3 linked regions of the Lytechinus pictus genome follow. The protein of the gene in region 3 purifies or fractionates together with the protein of the main gene of each other region. This does not show direct contact. Links are inferred from orthologs where the notes say so. Each region holds a gene or a part of one and is shown on either strand. Other genes may lie near its edges.

Region 1 (6,292 bases), on a different chromosome or scaffold from region 3:
TTTCAGCATAGTTCATCCACTCACTTTACAGTGTTTTATTGTAGTGTACAAATGATTCGTGTATAATTTGTAGATCTATCCAAGGTAAACAATTATCACTCTGAAACCATTTGGAACCATCTTTGGCCAAAAACCACCAAGATTTCACCTTGGATCGATTAACACTATAAATTCTACTTTCTCTCATAGCATCTTGTTTTTATCCCCCTAAAAGTTCTTTCTTATCCTTTCTGCCTTGGAAATTAGCTCACACTGCAGATTCTCCACTTTCCTCCCTCTTTTAATTTTATACTCAACTCTCCTTTGATCTACAACTGTTATCATGCCATATGATGCCCCCCCCCCCCCCCCCATGAGCCGGTTTCTTAGACTCATTTGTTGCCCAAATTTCGACTGGCATGTTTAGATTTTCTGCAACATTTTTTTTTTATCTTACATGTCTTTTCACAAAATGAAATTTTGTATCAATGTTTGTTGAATATATTTGTCTACTTTCAAAGCAATTTTATTTTCAACTTCCACCTCAATATTTCATACAAATCTAACAATGGAAACAGAGAATTCCCTGATACAATCAGTAGAGGCACAAGGCCAATATGGGAGACTCTCTCCAATAGGGGAGACAATCTCCCACATTGGAGACTTGCTTTGCAAAAGGACAAAAGAAACACCAACAAAAACATGATTTTTTCCACCCAAAATTTTGTCTCACTGAGGTCAGAAGCCCATTTGTTCTGTGTGTGATTGACAACAAAAATCCTTATCAAAACAAAAGTAGACTGTGAATTTTTAAAGTAGACAGTGAAAAGGGGTAATTTTTAATGAGAAATCTGCTTATCACATTTTTATTTGCCGCCAAGGTAATTGTTTTGCAGCAAATGTAAACAAAGGAAATTGGACTCCAAAACTGGAGACTGTCTCTAAAATTGGATACCAAAATTCTTTACAAAAGTCTCTGATATTGGAGATAATCTCCCACATTGGAGATAGTATAGTCTCCAATATTGGCCGTGCGCCTCTACTGACAATGTATCTCCATGTTTTGCGGCTGTGATTCGCCAGTACCCCACTTTGACAGTGTGTGCAAGAGCCGCACGCGATACGGTATGCAACCCCCAGAAGTTGCAGTGGCCATTCAGCCCACATTACATGCAGAACCCCTGTGGAACTATGAAGGCAACCCACTAGCATGCCGTAGATTTGATTTCGGTGCAGATTCAATGCGGTTGAGCTTTTCTGGGGTTCATATTTTTTTCTTATATCATTTAGAAGATACAAGATATTCTAAATTTGTGGGAACATTAAAAATTTGGAACCACAGATTTCATCATTTTCAGTGCATTTCTTGGCGACCCCGCTTCTTATATCTGACTGAGCTAAGCTGCTGCTTGCCCTGGAAATGCGGCACAGATTCTGTATTTGTAGGGCAACATTTGCCAACTTTTCAAAGGGGATTTTGGTTTTGGAGTTGAAATCTGGACTTTCCTCCTGAGGCTCCTGTGGTGATTCTCCTTCTGTCTTGTGGTGTTGGACACCAGTAAAAAAATTGACTCTTTTTGCCACTGCTTTAATTTGGAGCCTTCTTTGAATTGAGAGGATGAAATGAAAAAGCTTCTTTCCCTTCATCCTTTTTTTTCCTTCTCATTATTTCTTTTCTGTTAATCTTTCTTTTTTTCTTCTTTTTTTTTGGACTGGGTCTGTGCTGCATGGCCTGTGAAATAAGTTAGACAAATTGACATTTAAAATTCGGGCTAGTTTCTCTACCCCAACTGTTGAATTATTGTACATCATCACACAAACTTTCAGGCATTCCATATTCACACCTGCACACCACAGAAAACAGACTCATTCAACAAAGTTCAAACATATCAAAATTGGATTGAGACATTGAGTCCAACTTTTACTTTTTTAGTAGGCCTACAGTTTTTACTGCCATACTGGACCATCTGAGACTAAGATTAAGAATAATCTTTTATGCGTTCTTCATCAGCAACATTAACGAATAACGTTTAACAGCCAACGATGTAAATAGTATACAAATAATGCATGCAGCCGAGTGCGTTAGTGGAAATGCAGAGCACGCGAGGTTTCTTTAGATAGGAGTCGCACTGTGCACGAGCCGCTTGCGGCGAGTGCCCAGTGTGCTCCATCTGAAGAAACCGAGCTTTCTCTGCATTTACTTTTAAGTTTTATGCAAGACAGAGCAAGTGCATTATTTGTTTTATGAAATAGCAACACAGAAACAATTTTTAAAAAACTTACAGTACAGTTTTGTTGGACTTTACCGCACTGGTTTGCTCGAGCGTGCAATGTCAATTTTCGTTGCACACCTTTTGCACTACCGTGCAGTGCACAAAAAAAGTTGGATGTCATGTGACGCGTATTGACCAATCGCGATGCTTGAAATAATACAGCTATTTTATAATAAGTTGTAGTAACATGGGCATGGCCATGGCATTGCCATTGATTGGCAACACGCATGGAGCCTAGCCATGTCCATGACAAGTGCAGAATACGTATATTAAGGATACACCCCACCCACCACTTTTCGAACAAGGCATACTTGCCAAATAGAAAGTGTCTACCCATTCAACTTTATGGGGTGTAATCTGCAATTAACTTATATAAGCCATGCTGAAGGTTTTAAACTTTTAGCTTCGCGGACATTACACAAAACTTTATACATGGGCACACACTATGGGGGAAGTATTACCGTGATTGGGACCTCATCATCTTGGAGGATAAGAGCGCTGTAAACGCAGGCAAGCTCAGAAGTATTGTCCTCAGAAGACATCTTTGATATTTAGTGGCTTGATTTCTTGGGAAATCAGTACTTGATGGCAAAGAAAAATGGTACACGTCGCCGATTTTGGCCTTAGCTCGATAGAGAACTGTGCACCTTGTTTCTATCCGTGTTGCAAGAGGTCTGTGGAAAGGACAAGTTCATTAATTTTGGGTGGGATCTTTTTATTTTTTATTTAAAAAAACATTTAAAAGTCGATTGTAATTGTTTTTTTAAACAGTATCTTCAGATCAAATATATTATAAAAATCCTTTATTTTACTAATCGAATCTGATATCGAGAGATGTTATTTTGATATATGTATAAGAATTATTTCAGCACATTTAACTTTTACAAAAGTGGATTATTCCTGTCATCCGTGCGTAATGTTAATGGCCCCAAGTTTCGTGGCTAACGGAACTACAATCGTCTGATCCCCTAGAAGTCCGGCGCGATAAAGGTAGGCTGATACCAGGATACGGCTTTACACTGTTTTCCCATAGCGCGCGCGCGCGCTCTGCTAATGTGAATTATGGCTGTATTTGGGCTGTGGAAGGAGAAACGAACACTCTAAAATGTTGCGATATTATTTCAATTTAATGGGGTTCCTTTGGGGACTAATTGCTTTATTTTGTATGTTGAATCACAGAGTTATGTGTCAACTGGTAATCAACGTGAAAAACGACGGTGGTGACCTTGTTCAAGAGAGTATAAACGCTGATGTCAAACGCGATGTGATTTATTTGCAGTTTCAAAAGCTTGATGGCACACTTGTGAAAATGGTCATTGATTTCAAATCGGTAAGTGAAGCAAAAAAAAATGCTTGCTGGATGGATTGGGTAGATTTTAAGTTTAGAGTCATCATAGGCATTAAACCGTTGTATATACACTGTAACACAGTTGATCCAGTCTCACAAACCACGTATTAAAGAGTAGAACTTAGAGTAAGTAGAGGCGCACGGCCAATATTTTAATTGGACTTGGACTGGAGACTGTCTCCAATATCAGAGACTTTTGTAAAGAATTTGGGTATCCAATTTCAGAGACAGTCTCCAGTTTTGGAGACCAATTTTCTTTGTTTACATTTGCTGCAAAAGGATTACCTTGGCGGAAAATAAAAATGTGATAAGCAGATATTCCTCATGAAAAATTACCCCTTTTCACCGTCTACTTTAATTAAAAATTCACCGTCTACTTTTGTTTTGTCAAGGATTTAAGTTGTCAATCACACACAAAACAAGTCAAATGGGCTTCTGACCTCAGTCCAGTGAGACAAAATTTTGGGTGGAAAAAAAATCATGCTTTTGTTGGTGTTGTTTCTTTTGTCCTTTTGCAAGACAAGTCTCCAAAGAGTCCAATGTGGGAGATTGTCTCCAATGTGGGAGATTGTCTCCCCTATTGGAGAGAGTCTCCCATATTGGCCGTGCGCCTCTACTGTTAGAAGTCGTGATCGTTGACGACCGGGAGATTTACAGGAAGGCATTATCTCACTCCCGTATCAGATGATGATGATGATGAATAAATAAAAATGATTTAAAGGAGAATGAAACCCTTGAAACTAGCTGAATCCATATCAAAGAGAAAAATCAAAGAAACATATTGTTGAAAGTTTGAGGAAGATTGAATGAATAATAAGAAAGTTATGAGCATTTGAATATTGAGATCACTAGTGCCATGTAGATCCTCCCATCGGCAATGCGACCAAGATCTGTGATATCACACACGTACAACTCCGTCATTACTTTAGTACTTATTTCACTTATATTCTCACTTTTATAGAGTCTATCACAAGGTTAGGTGTTTTCTTTATGAGATGACAAGTACAGAGGTTTCACAACATTATATCATTAATTGATGAATCGTTTGTCATATGATAAGAATGAGCAAAAAGAGATGTTTTGGGGTATATTTTCAGTGTCCGAATGGGAGAGTTGTACGTGTGTGACATCACAGATCTTGGTCGCATTGCCAATGGGAGGATCTCCATAGCATTAGTGATCTCGACATTCAAATGCTCATAACTCTTTTATTGCTAGTCCTATTTTACTCAAAGTTTTGTTGATCTTATTCTTTGATTTTTCTGCTTTCACAAAAGCTAACTTGCTCCAAGAGTTTCATTCTCCTTTAAATTAAATGGTGGATCAATATCAACCTCCCTTGAGCTCAATAAAATGATCTCGCTCAGTCACTGATCACTGACACTCCAGTGAGTGGGTGATTTCAATTACGGTGTTGAAATTGTGTTGGTTAAGTCACAAATTGTGACAACACAACAACACCGTACTTGAAATCACGCTGGTGTTGGGATTGACCTCGGAAAATATGACGCATTTCCGGCAGTTCTTGTTGAGCGCTGGTGTTGAATGTCGTCTGCTGAACCGAGCGTTACAGTGTAATTTTACAGCTGGTGTTAAATTAGGAAAATCATGATTTCAAGTTGGTGTTGATGTTGATGTGATGAACTGTATACTGTACATGTATGATGTAGCTCACGAACAGGCGGCGAACACGACGAAACATCCTTGTAAAATTATCTTTTACTTTAGTTTTAGTTAAGATGAGCGCAAATCATTAAGAGTTTTATACATTTTAATGAAAAGTAATATTTATGCTTTCTGATTCCTTGCAGTGATTTTAACCTTTGCATTCTGTACGATAAGATTTTCTTGCAATTTCTTCCCGATTTCACTTTCGTCGTGGAGAATTTCTCACATAAAGTTGAGATGATCAGCAGTGCAGTGCAGAGGCGTGATGTCATAGGCTATCGCTACACGATCGGTATCGCTCCTCTGAACTCAGCTCGGTGTTCGAGCTCGGTTCAGCAGTCTTTTCAGTTTTCATGCTCTCAACACCAACACCGAACACCGTACTTGAAATCACCCAGAGTACTCAGTGTTGCTTAGCCAGGAGGCTTCTAGAGAGTAAAAAATCATTAACTAACGTGTGCTTACTCTCCACTGAGCCAGGGATTGCGTCCCATTCATGTGCGTGTACGGTACTGTGAAAAAAACTGAAATTTTTCGTCCCCGAGATTTTTACTTTCCTTCTAACTTAAACGATCTACATGTAGGCCTAGGCTAGCCCTAAAATGTAAATGGGATATAATTTCATTTCCGACATTTATATGATGTTGATTTCATTTTTAAACAAGAATTCATAAAAAAACCGAGAAAAACATTTTGAGAAGACGGAAAAAAGCTTGCCGATGTTTACGTCGCCATCTTGTTCTCTTTGTTCTTTGCCAAGCTACAAGAGGCTTTTTAGAGGCATATCCTCTGATATATTTGCGTCTTGTGCTGTGGTATACCGGTAAGACAACAAAAAAATCAGAAAATTTTTATAAAACTCCTCCGAAATAGCTCGGATACATTAGTTTGATGATAATTCTGTAATACCAGTTTTTGTTCTATTTTTCATCTCTTACATGTATTCCTCTCTTAGGAAGTACGCATCTTTAAAACCATTGTCTTAGGAGAGGAGGAGAGGCTAGAGAGTCAGTATCACATCATG
Region 2 (6,292 bases), on a different chromosome or scaffold from region 3:
AAAATGAATAGGTCTAGTTGACTGGCCGGGTAAGCAGTTGATTACCATGAACTTACTACACCTGAACTTGAATCAGTGAGCATTTCTCTTCTTCCCTTTGAACTGGACATTACATAAACCCTTTCCTACTTGGAATAGATTTTTATACCATACCGGCCCGGTAGTTATTGTGAAATGTTTTAAAGGGCAATCACTTTGTATTACAATCAGAACAAATTGCAAACCCAAATCTGTAACAGATTACCCTTGGAGATTGCATATGTTTCACTACCACTTTACACTTGGTTGTAAAATTATTTCACGTCTTGTAACTGATTTGATACTGCATGCTAGCGTCACAAGAGTGAACGATAAAGATGATTGTATTGTAAACCTTGAAAAATAGACTGATTATTATGTTAATAAACCAGTACTTCAATTTGATACAGTAATTTTATTCTTTTTATTCTGAGTGCCTGACAACATGGTTACTCTTATGTCCCAAGTTTCATGAACTAGATCTATAAACTTTTAAGTTATGATGACAATTCCACAAATAACCCCAACATTATAAAAGTTCGTTGCCCCCTAAATTACCTTTGACCTAGGTCATGTGACCTGAAACTCGCACAGGATTTTCAGGGTTACTTAATTGCTCTTATTTCTAAGTTTCATGAACTAGATCCATAAAATGTCAAAGTTATGATGACAATTCCACAAATACCCCCAACATGGTCAAAGTTTGTTGACCCTAAGTGACCTTTGACCTTGGTCATGTTACCTGAAACTCATGAAGGATCTTCAGTAATACACTATCAACCTTATGTCCAAGTTTCATGAACTAGGTCCATATACTTATAAGTTATGACATTTCAAAAACTTAACCTTGGTTAAGATTTTGATATTGATTTCCCCAACATGGTCGAAGTTCATTGACCCTAAATGACCTTTGTCATGTGACCTGAAACTCAGGCAGGATGTTCAGTAATACTTGATTACCCGTATGTTTTAATGTATGAACTTAACTTTGGTCATATTGGTTAAGAAATTCCATGTTGACGACGCCGCCGTCGTCGGAAAAGCGGCGCCTATCGTCTCGCTCTGCAATGCAGGCGAGACAAAAATGACATCAATCATTCAATGTCGTATAAATGTCGGAAATGAAGTTTTACTTGTAGTTGTATCCCATCATGCCCATTCATGCCCATTTACATGATTTAGGCTTAGGGTGAAGAATAATTAAAGAGCTGTGACTCTGGGAGAAGAGTTCTTTTCCTTTTGTGACAACCTGCTGACCTGTGTTACAAGAAATGAACAAGATGCGACTCCCGGCTCCCCTATCAGTAGAGGCGCACGGCCAATATTGGAGACTGTCTCCAATGTGGGAGATTATCTCCAATATCAGAGACTTTTGTAAAGAATTTGGGTATCCAAATTCAGAGACAGTCTCCAGTTTTGGAGACCAATTTCCTTTGTTTACATTTGCTGCAAAAGGATTACCTTGGCGGCAAATAAAAATGTGATAAGCAGATTCCTCATGAAAAATTGCCCCTTTTTACCATCTACTTTAAAAATTCACCGTCTACTTTTGTTTTGATAAGGATTTTTGTTGTCAATCACACACAAAACAAATGGGCTTCTGACCTCAGTGAGACAAAATTTTGGGTGGAAAAAATCATGCTTTTGTTGGTGTTGTTTCTTTTGTCCTTTTGCAAAGCAAGTCTCCAATGTGGGAGATTGTCTCCCCTATTGGAGAGAGTCTCCCATATTGGCCGTGCGCCTCTACTGCCTATATCAGGCGACTGAGTCAATGTGAAATTCATACACAGCTTCACAAAAACGTGTTTAGCCCATGTAGCATGCAGGCGCAATAATCGCACACGCCTTTATTGCAATGGATTCTGCGCGTTTCTATCCGCATTCCAAGCGTATAACACGGTTCTCTATGTAAGGGACTAGGCCTAAAGTAAAGTCCACTTTCGCACTTCCCGAAAAGTGACGGAAAAGTGCTGATTTTTAAAGCCTACCGACAATTTTCTCATACCTAAGTAATATCATAGTATTCTTGAAAAGTAATGGGACATACGTACCACCGTCTTTACGATCCCGTTTTCCCATTGCATTCAGAAAATTGTTGATATATTTCAGAATGTGGATGTCTAACCGCCCCTAACCGCCTGCGCCTGCCTACGGCCAAAACTGTCGCCAGTATTGCGCAAGAGTCGAGTTGGTACAACTTCAAGCGAGATACCGCGCTGCTGAACCAGTGAGTAATAACAATGAGAAAACTGCATTATCTGGAATTTAGAATATCAGATTTAAAGTACATTTTTAAGTCATAATCAATAATAGTTGTGGCATGCCATATTTTTTGCATAAGATCAAGCAGACATTTGCAAGATAAAGTCGAAAATGAAAACGTGGGCGAATCAGATTGCATGCTGAGCCTGAGCACGCGGTCTGTCCTGCAGCTGCATCGGCGCTTACCACTTGAATCCCCCGGGCCGACCCGCAAGCTAGCTGCCCTGGGCTGGGCCCGTCTCCCATCCCAGCAAGTTCCCACACGCGCACATGTGTGTGTGAGGATATGGATGGATGGCCAATGGCTATGCCTATGTCAACTGGCCTGCACAGGTTGGTTGGTGTTGGAGTTAGGTTGGCGCTCTTCAATCTAGTACTAGTTAGTAGTAGATTATGCGCCAGGTCTTTTCCGAGTTGCTTAATTCCCGCTTCAAAATGAATGTCCTTGGCGTTGGACTAGTCTGAACTGTCATATATCGATATAGCGAGATACAATATAATTATGATTACCTCCAGTCATTGACATTGTGCGATATTGTACGTCATAGTGTAACAGTAAATTTTGCTGGGTTTATTTCTCTAATCTGTACTCTTGCATTTGGCTTTCCATACTTTATTGTTTACATTCAACTTGTTTATTTCCATTCCAACTCATCTCATCCTTCTTTCCATCCTCACAATCCACATACATTGTCATGCCTCATGGGGCCTGTTGCATGACAAGATGAGCGATACGTAGGAACGTCCTAGGACCATTCTTCCGAGATAGGAAGATTGGTGACAAATCAGCGCTTTCCGTTTCACGAAGGCAATTTTGTCTTTCAAGTCCGCGACATCGTTTGATATCGATAGTATCGGAAAAATATTTAGTCTTCATCGTCACCTGAACCTTTTATTTCGGAATGACGACTTTTCATAAAATCATATATTTCAATAAAAGGGGATCAAATAATATTTTATTTATTACTGATTGTAGAATTGATGTACATGGAGCTTAATTTATGAGGTAAAAAGAGAAAAAAATTCAAGATTCACAAACATAACTGGATAAGATCGAAATTATCATTATTTCCCTTATTCAGAACACGGTGTCCTTTTAGAGACACCTTTCATTGATATTTCAACGAAAGAGACCCTTGTCTGACATAAAATTGATTTAACTAAGTAATTTCGACATTTGATTAGTTCAGTATTCTGTATTTTTATAGAATACATATATATAATGATGATTTTGCAAATTATGCGTTAATATGTTATCTGTTGAGGTAAAAATAGGGTTTGAATGGAGTAAACAAAATCAACAGTGTCTGATTGTATGAGACTAAAAAGGAAAATATGAGAGGCTGCCTGTGAAAAATCTAATTTATTTATTTTATTTGTCAGATATAACGCAAGAAATACAAATGTGAGTGTTTAGAGTATAAACATACCTCAGTTGCATGATGAGTAACCGAAGACAAGGAAAATATGAAAATTGCTGCAAACATGTCCAAGTGGATAAAGTAGTGCTTTGCAAAAATAATTAAAACATAGAAAAAGGTGTGCAATCCGAATGGAAAAAAATACTATTTACAGAAATAATGCTAAAAATTACAATGATCATAAAGGTCATCCCCGGGGGGGCCACTTACATTGACGAGTGGATACCATGCGCGACCAAAAAAACACGTAAAAAGGATGTCTTTTTTCAAGATAGGGCACGTTACGTACGTAACGTGATAAGGGTGTCAAAAACACAAAAATATTGATAAAAGGGTATCTATATACGTGTTTAGGGTCAAATATTCGGGGATGATAAAACAAAATAAAAATGTTTGATAAAGGATGTCCTTTTTGCCCCAACACTACGTGTTTAGAGTCCGATTTGCGCGAGATGTGGAAGGTGGGGCCGACTAAACCAAAATAATGGTGTGTATAAAGGTAAAACCGACGACCGACGGACCCGTGACATAACAATAAAATATCGCTGTACTTGTTTAGGGGCTCAATTCTGGAAATAATTGCCAATAGTATTCGGTTTCTAATACTTGTTAAGGTTAGGGTTTCACACGCCAATACTTGTTAAGGGGTGCATTTTCAGAATATGGAAAATACGTGTTTAGGGTGCTTTTCAAAACCCCGTGGTCGCGCATGGTATCCACTCGTCAATGGAAGTGGCCCCTCCGGGAGGTCATCTTTAAAGTCGATCACTGGAAGCTAATATAAGAATATAAGGTGTAAGAATATAAAAAATATATATGTTCAAAGTTGAGGAGTAAAGACTACATTATTGCTTTAACATTATACATGGGGGCCGAAAGGGGCATACCCGACGATTTAAAATGCGCCTCTTTGTATGGATTTTCCATAATCTTTTCTTTAATGAACTTATCTTCATTTGTAATGATTGTGATGGATTTGTAAGATATAGGCCTAATCTATATCTTAAATTCAATTAGCTATTTTGTTACTGCAGATTTTTTGTATTGTTTCACTGTTTCACATCTCAATTAGCCCAAATCCGACAATTAATTTTCATTGATTAAAATTAATTTCAGCCAAAAAATAATAATTATAATGAAAATTAAATAAAAATAAATAAATGATTTACCATGTTTAACATTTAAGTTTGTATCATGTTTTTTTTGCTGAACGTCATATAAATACTTTTTTACCTTACATAATTTCTTTAAAAAAAAATGTTTTCATGTTGTTTAATTATGAGAAAGCATGAGGGATCAGAGAGATAGTGCCACCCATTTCGATATTAAAAAAAAAATTAATGGAAATGGTGTGGGGATAGGACGGAGGGAGAATAAAAGAAAACATATTAAAAAAATATTTGGGCCTACTTTACCCCGGACATAATACCCCGGAGAAGTTAAAGTGACATCTGTTTTTGGTCGTCTTGCCGTGCAAAAAGACGACCTGAAATTGATGACAACTACATGTAGCCCCCATATAAAAAAATAACTTGGTGCCACGGATAAAATGCATCAGTGTGCAACACCAAAAAATGTTTAAAGGTGATATGTCAGTGAGTGTGGCTTGCCGTAAACGCATTTTCTCTCAATGCCGACGGTGGCGGGGCGGTGTGCAAAGAAGATCATGCCTCTGAGGACATGTCTGGAGGTGTCTTTCCAAGGACCATTCTTCGTATCGCCCAAATCGGCTTTGTGAAACAGTTGAGCGATATCTCGTTCTTACGTAGAATGGTTCTACGAAAGACCCTTTCATGCAGCAGGCCCATGATCTCATCTTTCATTCAATCTCCACAATACATCTCACATAGCAACACAGGTTCATTGCATTTCATTCTTTCATTCAGTTTCCCCTCAGTCATGCTTCCTGGTGTTCCATTAGCTTTCCATTCCACATGGTCTTATTGTTTAATTCTCATTAGGATTCAGTTTAACTCATGATCACCCTTCTCTATTCTCTGATTGGTTCTTATTTTTAAATAGGGTTAGTTCATTTTATAGTTCATACAATTTTCCTTGTTTTTGATTGGTTGATTTCTATGATTATCCAATGTGGGTACATTGGCAGAACTTCCCAGAAGATTAGATTGGAAAGTAAAGGGAGTGCTGATCTGGACTTCATCGTGTTAAGTTCTAATTTATTCTGTGTTCACCCTATCTTCAGTCTAATAATTTTAGTTCAATTAAAGTTAGGAGAGCTTTGGAGACTGAAGTGCAAGAGTTTATGATTTTGGAGTGTACAAACGGTCATGTTACAATAGTATGCAAACTTATAAGAAGCTAGGTCGAAGCTCAATTTTAGTAGTCTAAGAATTATTACATCACTGATCATCAGAACAAACATGACAAAAGGAAGAGAGAGATCAGTGGAACATTCTTATCTCTTTGTTTTTTTCACATAATTCAGGATGACTTTATAATCTGCATTTTTTTCCTATTAATGTTGCTAGATCTGATATTGGGTTGTTTAATCACAGGCTTCTTTGTATAGTTTGCACAGCTTCAGGTCTGGTCCCTTTCAAGGTCTTTAAATCCTCTTCAGTCTACTTGGA
Region 3 (6,292 bases):
AGGGGCCTATACCTGATGTAATTTGCTTCAATATAAAATCATAACGGAAAGAACGCCTTGAATACAGGCCAAACAGCCTAACGACATTGCTGTGTCACGTGACAACTAGTATTAAACGAGAATGTACACAACCCTATGGCGACAAGGTTAGCCGCAAAAGTTGAGCAAGTTCTGGACAAAAAGGCTTCAGTACCCCAAGAAAAGACCAGGCGAGTACTATTTATACATTATTTTCCATAAGTAGTATCTAGGGTCTAATTTAAAAATAGATTTCGTCATGGAGCTCCATGGTAATATCTAGTAATTTAAGTCCAACTTCTGATTCGTGTGCACTCACTTTTTTAACACAGGAATTGATAGGCATGGTGCCTAGAGTGGTGATGACACTACGTCATTAAAAAAGAAGTTATGACAGGTTCGGAGGTGTCATAAATATTTAGTGAGCTATTTAGTATTGGACTTGGAGGTAGTTGTACCCGATCTTTCTGTCTGTCTTTCTTTCTTTTCCTTCCTTCATTCCTTTACTCTTATCCCGTTTTTTTTCCGGTGAAATCCACTGGGGATCAAGGGCCAGCCTGCATGCCCCCGGCGGCTTACGCCTCTGCCGTGGATGTAGACCTAAGCTATACGCATGATCTTAATCTTCATTATGATTCAAACTAGAGGCGCATCCAAGATTTTGCAAAGTGGGGGGGGGGGGGGGCTCGGGGTGAATTTTCTCAAGTAAAATTTGACAATTCTAAAAAAAGGTTCTTACCAAAAAAACCCGGTCATTTTGTCTCGCGTAAGTTAAAAAAAAAATGGTCACTCAAAATGAAAATCATTTTGTCCGCGTAATATTCGGCCCCCCACAGAAAAATAAAATAAGAAAAGGGAAAGTCATTTTGTCCACGTGATATTTGGCACCCCCCGCCCCCCCCCCCCCAAAAAAAGGTTTTAACTATAGTACCGGGCTAAAGTAATGATCGAAGGTAATTTTATCTCGTGTAGAATTTGACAAATGAAAAAAAGGTTGTCACTGAAAAATAATAATAATAATAACAAATAGAGGTATATTTTATTACCCAGAGTAACCACTTCAGTTCCGAAAACTGTTCTCCCAGCGGGCCCTGCTATTATTACCCGAGCTTTAGCTGGGCTAAAAATGAAGGTCATTTTGTCCCACGTAAAATTTGGCAAGCCCCCCCCCCCCCCCAAACAAAAAAAAACAAAAAAGGAAAATGGTTTTCAACTAATATTAGTGATCGAAGGTCATTTTGTCTCGCGTAAAATTTGACAATTTTTTTTTTAAGTTGTCACTAAAAAAGAAGGTCACTTTTTCCACCGTTATATTTGGCAAGCCCCTACCCCCATAAAAAGTTTGTCCCTAAAAGTGATGTATAGAAAGTCATATTGTTAATTTGTTCCCAGTAAAATTTGACAAGCAAAAAAAAGGCAAAAAAGAGAAAAGAATATGAACGAGATATCCCCATTACAAATAATGCTGTGATTCTCATAAGGGAGGGGGGGGGGGCACATAACTAGTATTAACAAAATATTTAATTCCAAAATGTTTACTATAAATCTCAAAAGGGGAACGGGCAGAAATGCTCACCCCCAACCCCTCCCCCCCCCCCCGATCTGCCACTGATTCCAATCAATAATGACTTTTCTCTGCAATACTGATGCTTTGAAATCAAGATACTGAAGATTGATACGCTTAACATAAATTATGAACGTCTGACAAAACGATAACCAACCGATCACCTGACCGATCAGCTGACCAGTACGCGTATCACTTCGGAGTTGATCACTCGTCGCAGCTGTGTGGAATGCTCATCGTAACAAAATGGCCGATCGAGACTGGGGTAGAGGAGAGAACTTTTCGTTTTTTTTAGGTTCCAGTCTGTGCCCAGATGTCAGGAAACTGCCACTCGTTAGACCTTCATCCATATAATCGTGGTAATTGTATACTTTCTGTTTTCACAATTCATTTGGAGAAATATTTAGACCATAAATCACCCTAGTCCGGTGACTATGGCCAAATACACGGTAAGCCCGGGCCCCTGGGCTCCCGCCCGCTGTGCGGGCGGGAGCTCCCTGGGGCTGGGTTAGGACTAGGACTAGGAGTGACTAGGAGTGGTAAAGACTAAAGAGGGCTTCACTTCACTCAGCCTTCTTGAAACGGTTAGCGGACAATTTAGTCAAGAAGTTAGACTTATGACGGTGTTGAGAAACGGGCCCCTGAAGGCTAATACAGACAGTATTGGCCGAGCCACTTTCTTTCAATTTCATGGGGGAAAAAAACACACACACAAGAAATGCAGCGTATGGGACCACGTTGTCAATCTCGCAAATCGACATCCCGTAATAATAATACGTTAAATTTAAAAGGATGTCTCGAAAAAGTAGTAGTAGGTCTCTATTCATCTCATCTCATGCCACAAGATTCCCTGCACATCACACACATACCGTAAGTGTTTGTTCAAAATAGGCCAGCTTTGGCAGCTTTTCTTTCCTTCTTAGACTTAGGAAACACGGCTTCATTTACTTCTGTACTTGGTCATGTAGGCTGCCATTTTATCTAAGATGCCAATCGTGTATAGAAATTTAAGTCAAAATCAAATTTATTAAAATCATAAATGATTAATAGAATGTATATTGAGATTTTGAAAATATATTTATTATATAATAAAATTAATATTGAAAAAAATTAAATAAATTGAGATTTTTTTATTTGAAAACAATATGATATAAAAAGGAATCTTTATTGTGCTTTAAATTGCATGTCGTACAAATATCCTTTTCTGTGAGCACTGCTGAAGCGCAGGGTCAGTTGAAATAAACATTCCATTAAAATCGTTAGGAATCTAAATCATTATTGATGGTCAAACTCTAATGTTACTTGATTCGAATAAAGTGATTACTATTTATGTAAAGTAATGATTCTAGTTTTGAACCTGTGTCCATTAAAAGTAGATAAAAGAATGAAACCATGACCGTCAATCACTGGTTAGCGAGAGCGATGCCGATAGTGTAACGCTAGTGCGGTCGCGGGTCGGGTTTGCCTTTTCAATCACGGATGATTCGTCGAATCGATGTCTGGGACTTGGATTCTGCCCTATAACTTTATGAATATGCAGGGGGAATCTGTTGCCCTTGTTCAAAATTATTGGTAGACCCTTGTTTTAAGTTCTAACGAGCCACCATCATGACCATGGCACAATTTGTTTGCAATCCAATGCCAATGCAATGGCATGCAGAGGCCTACCTCGAGCGAAGTTCGTGCAGGCTCCACTCCACTTCTCACTACCGGTACCGCTACAGCCTACACTACGCTTCACCTACCCGAACTTCGAGACCATGAACTCAATCGGATATTCCGAGTGATAAAAGGTGGGATTTTATGGGGACAAAATACAAAATTCATGCAACATCACGATCTTTAAAAACAAGTACAAGTACTACAACTGTCTAATATTCTTACTTTACACAAAGTTTCGCTTCTTTTTGATGCTTCTATAGTATCAGTCTCAAATTTGATGATTTAGAGCCAACATGAAGTTCCTCACACGTATAAATATTAATGCGCTGCCGACTTCAAAAAATCGCATGCGGGAGGTACCGGGTCTGGTCCGAGCTCGGACCCTCGCGCGCATGCGATGTTCTGAAATCGGCAGCGAATTATTACGTGTAAGGAACTTCATGTTGGCTCTAAATCATCAATTTTGAGACTGATAGAAGCATGGAAAAGAAGTGAAACTTTGTGTAAAGTAAGAATATTAGTTGTATACCCAGTTGTTGTGTGTCCGGACAGGTTGTGTGTCCGGACGATCAATTTTAGAAAGTCATTTGGAAAAATTTGAAAGCGAAGTTTCATAAATTTTTAGTACAAAATGTTATGAAATATTATAAAGAACAAAATATAAGATGATTACAAGTATTAAATTCATATTTTTAGTGTAATCCAAAGACAAAAAAGAAGGCTTCAAAAATATAAAGTGTCCGGACACCCGACCCCCCATCCTACTTGTTTTTAAAGATCGTGATGTTGCATGAATTTTGTATTTTCTCCCCATAAAATCCCACCTTTTGTCACTCGGAATATCCGATCGAGTTCATGGTCTCGAAGTTCGGGTAGGTGGAGCGTAGTGTAGCGGTAGTGAAGTGGAGTGGAGCCTGCACGAACTTCGCTCGAGGTAGCAGAGGCCATGAATCATGACAGTGCCAGTGGCTGGCACTGCCACTGGTGACTGCGCACCCAAAATTGAAACAGAGATATTCAAACGTGAATTTTCTTTCTTTTCCACACAATATCCTTATCTAGATAAAAATGTTCTAATGGCGTAGTGCATGTATTGCGGCACTGCCAAGATTTCTTAAGAAATTGAGTCAAAATTTGTTCGCAATTGCATTTCCAACCTTCATTTGAAATATCTTTGTCTTTATCACTCACTCTCAGAATAAAAACACTTGTCACTGTAACCCAGGGAGCTCCGGGCTGGAGCCCAGGACTCGTCTGTGTAATGATATTAGGCAGAGGAGGATACTCTCCAAAAATGTGGTAGAATGGGGTCACAATATCACCCCAAATGAAAGGGGAAAAAAATTATGCACTTGCCTCGATTATTATATGGATGAAGGTCAATTGTGCAACAGAATCCTGACATCCGAGGCACAAAACTAGACCTTAAAAAAAAGGAAAAGTTCTGTCTCGTCCATTCTCCTTTTTTCAAAATTGAAAACAAAATGGCCAATCATCATCGATACAGAGAAGGAACGCGACATAGACATGATAGAGGTCTAACTTCCTTTTTTTGAGTGTCCAGTTTGTGCCTCGATATCAGGATTCTGTGTCACTATAGACCTTCATCCATATAATCGGGTAAGTGCATAATTTATTTTTTCCCCTTTTATTTTGAGTGCTGTTGCGACCCCACCCATTTTGGAGAGTACCCATGTCTGCCTAGTATTACACGGACGACTCCTGGGCTCAAGCCCGCAAAGCTTCGCGGGCCGGGGCTCCCTGGGTTATTGGCATTGGAACCAAGTGTCTGTGCACCCACTCTTTGCAAATGATTGAACTGGGACTTGGAAGGGAGGCTGCATTTTGAGGTCTTGATATGATATATTATCAAAGAATGTTGGTCTAGACCTCTCTAGTGATCTTCTAGTCTACCATGTCTAATGCCAATGGCCACAAAAAGTTATGAATCATGATCTGCAATGTGGAGACAAATAGACCCTATTCATAAAAAAAGAGTAAAAAACCTTGTTCTCATTACAAATCGTATCAATGAGTGGTTCCCCAGATGCCAGAACATGATTATTGAGCTATCACATTGTGAATGTTCTAAATAACAGATTTCATGGGTAGGCCTAAATGCAGTCTCCCCATAAATAATTTAATCCTGTGTTTATATGGACAAAAATGTGGCAACATTGTTTTTGTTTGTATTGTTTTTATATTCCATCCCAAATACCAGCCTGCATTGTTTTACATGCAAAAAATCCTTTCTTTGAAAGTTGCATGATCTTTGATGTTTTTCTGATCATCAGATCTAAATCGACATTTATATTTCTATTTTTTTCATTTATTAGCATCACATTGAAATGGAAATCGTCATACTCATGCACCATATTATGCCGTTAATTTGCAAAGCCAAAGCCTTTCTTGCAAAATCTTTCAATTTTAAAAGAAAAGTTAATCGATTGAAACAAACTTTAAATATGAAATTGCCAAGTTTCATTTCATTACAAATTACTTGTAGTTTACAAATCATTGACATGATTTGAATTGAAATTTTTTATGACCTTTTTTCCCTTGACTACAGATTTCACCATGACTCGCAAGGGAAACAGAGTCCTTCCAAATGTCCATTTCCGTAAGGAATGGCAAAACTATGTCAGGACCTGGTTTGATCAACCAGCCCGCAAGAAGCGGCGACACAACACCCGTGTGCAGAAGGCACGGAAGATTGCCCCCAAACCCATCGCAGGAGCACTAAGACCCCAAGTTACTTGTCAGACGTTCAAGTACCACACCAAGCTGAGGGAGGGACGTGGCTTCACTCTTGAAGAGCTCAAGGTACTGTATGACCATCTTTAAATATGTCTTGGTCAATTCTTCAGGGATTGATAATTTGCTTCACTTGTACAACATGATGTGACTGACTAGACTGAAAATGCAAAAGAAGGCATACAAAAAGATACCAGCTAGGCTTGAGAAAGTAATGTAGGGAATCATCACAACCATCTCTTCACTCTGGTGACATGACATTTGCTCCTGCGACATTAGCTCCGGTGTTAATAT

What was found.
Region 1: the proteins of large ribosomal subunit protein eL13-like (region 3) and large ribosomal subunit protein P1-like purify together in Homo sapiens (affinity purification with mass spectrometry; 3 studies listed by BioGRID and IntAct, with this or other methods). This does not show direct contact. The link is inferred for Lytechinus pictus from reciprocal best matches to the Homo sapiens genes RPL13 and RPLP1.
Region 2: the proteins of large ribosomal subunit protein eL13-like (region 3) and nucleolar MIF4G domain-containing protein 1-like purify together in Homo sapiens (co-immunoprecipitation; 3 studies listed by BioGRID and IntAct, with this or other methods). This does not show direct contact. The link is inferred for Lytechinus pictus from reciprocal best matches to the Homo sapiens genes RPL13 and NOM1.

The regions. Positions count from the first base shown.
Region 1 is NC_087252.1:20,859,348-20,865,639, reverse strand, and holds the start of large ribosomal subunit protein P1-like, read right to left. Parts: upstream 2,937-6,292; 5' UTR 2,795-2,936; coding exon 2,714-2,794; intron 1-2,713. Other genes in the region: out at first protein-like, read left to right, coding at 3,358-3,582, 6,224-6,292. UniProt on the Homo sapiens protein: Plays an important role in the elongation step of protein synthesis.
Region 2 is NC_087257.1:8,961,187-8,967,478, reverse strand, and holds the start of nucleolar MIF4G domain-containing protein 1-like, read left to right. Parts: upstream 1-2,192; 5' UTR 2,193-2,245; intron 2,246-6,292. Other genes in the region: general transcription and DNA repair factor IIH helicase subunit XPB-like, read right to left, coding at 2,070-2,097. UniProt on the Homo sapiens protein: Plays a role in targeting PPP1CA to the nucleolus.
Region 3 is NC_087246.1:67,041,768-67,048,059, forward strand, and holds the start of large ribosomal subunit protein eL13-like, read left to right. Parts: upstream 1-2,754; 5' UTR 2,755-2,810; intron 2,811-5,813; 5' UTR 5,814-5,821; coding exon 5,822-6,067; intron 6,068-6,292. UniProt on the Homo sapiens protein: Component of the ribosome, a large ribonucleoprotein complex responsible for the synthesis of proteins in the cell.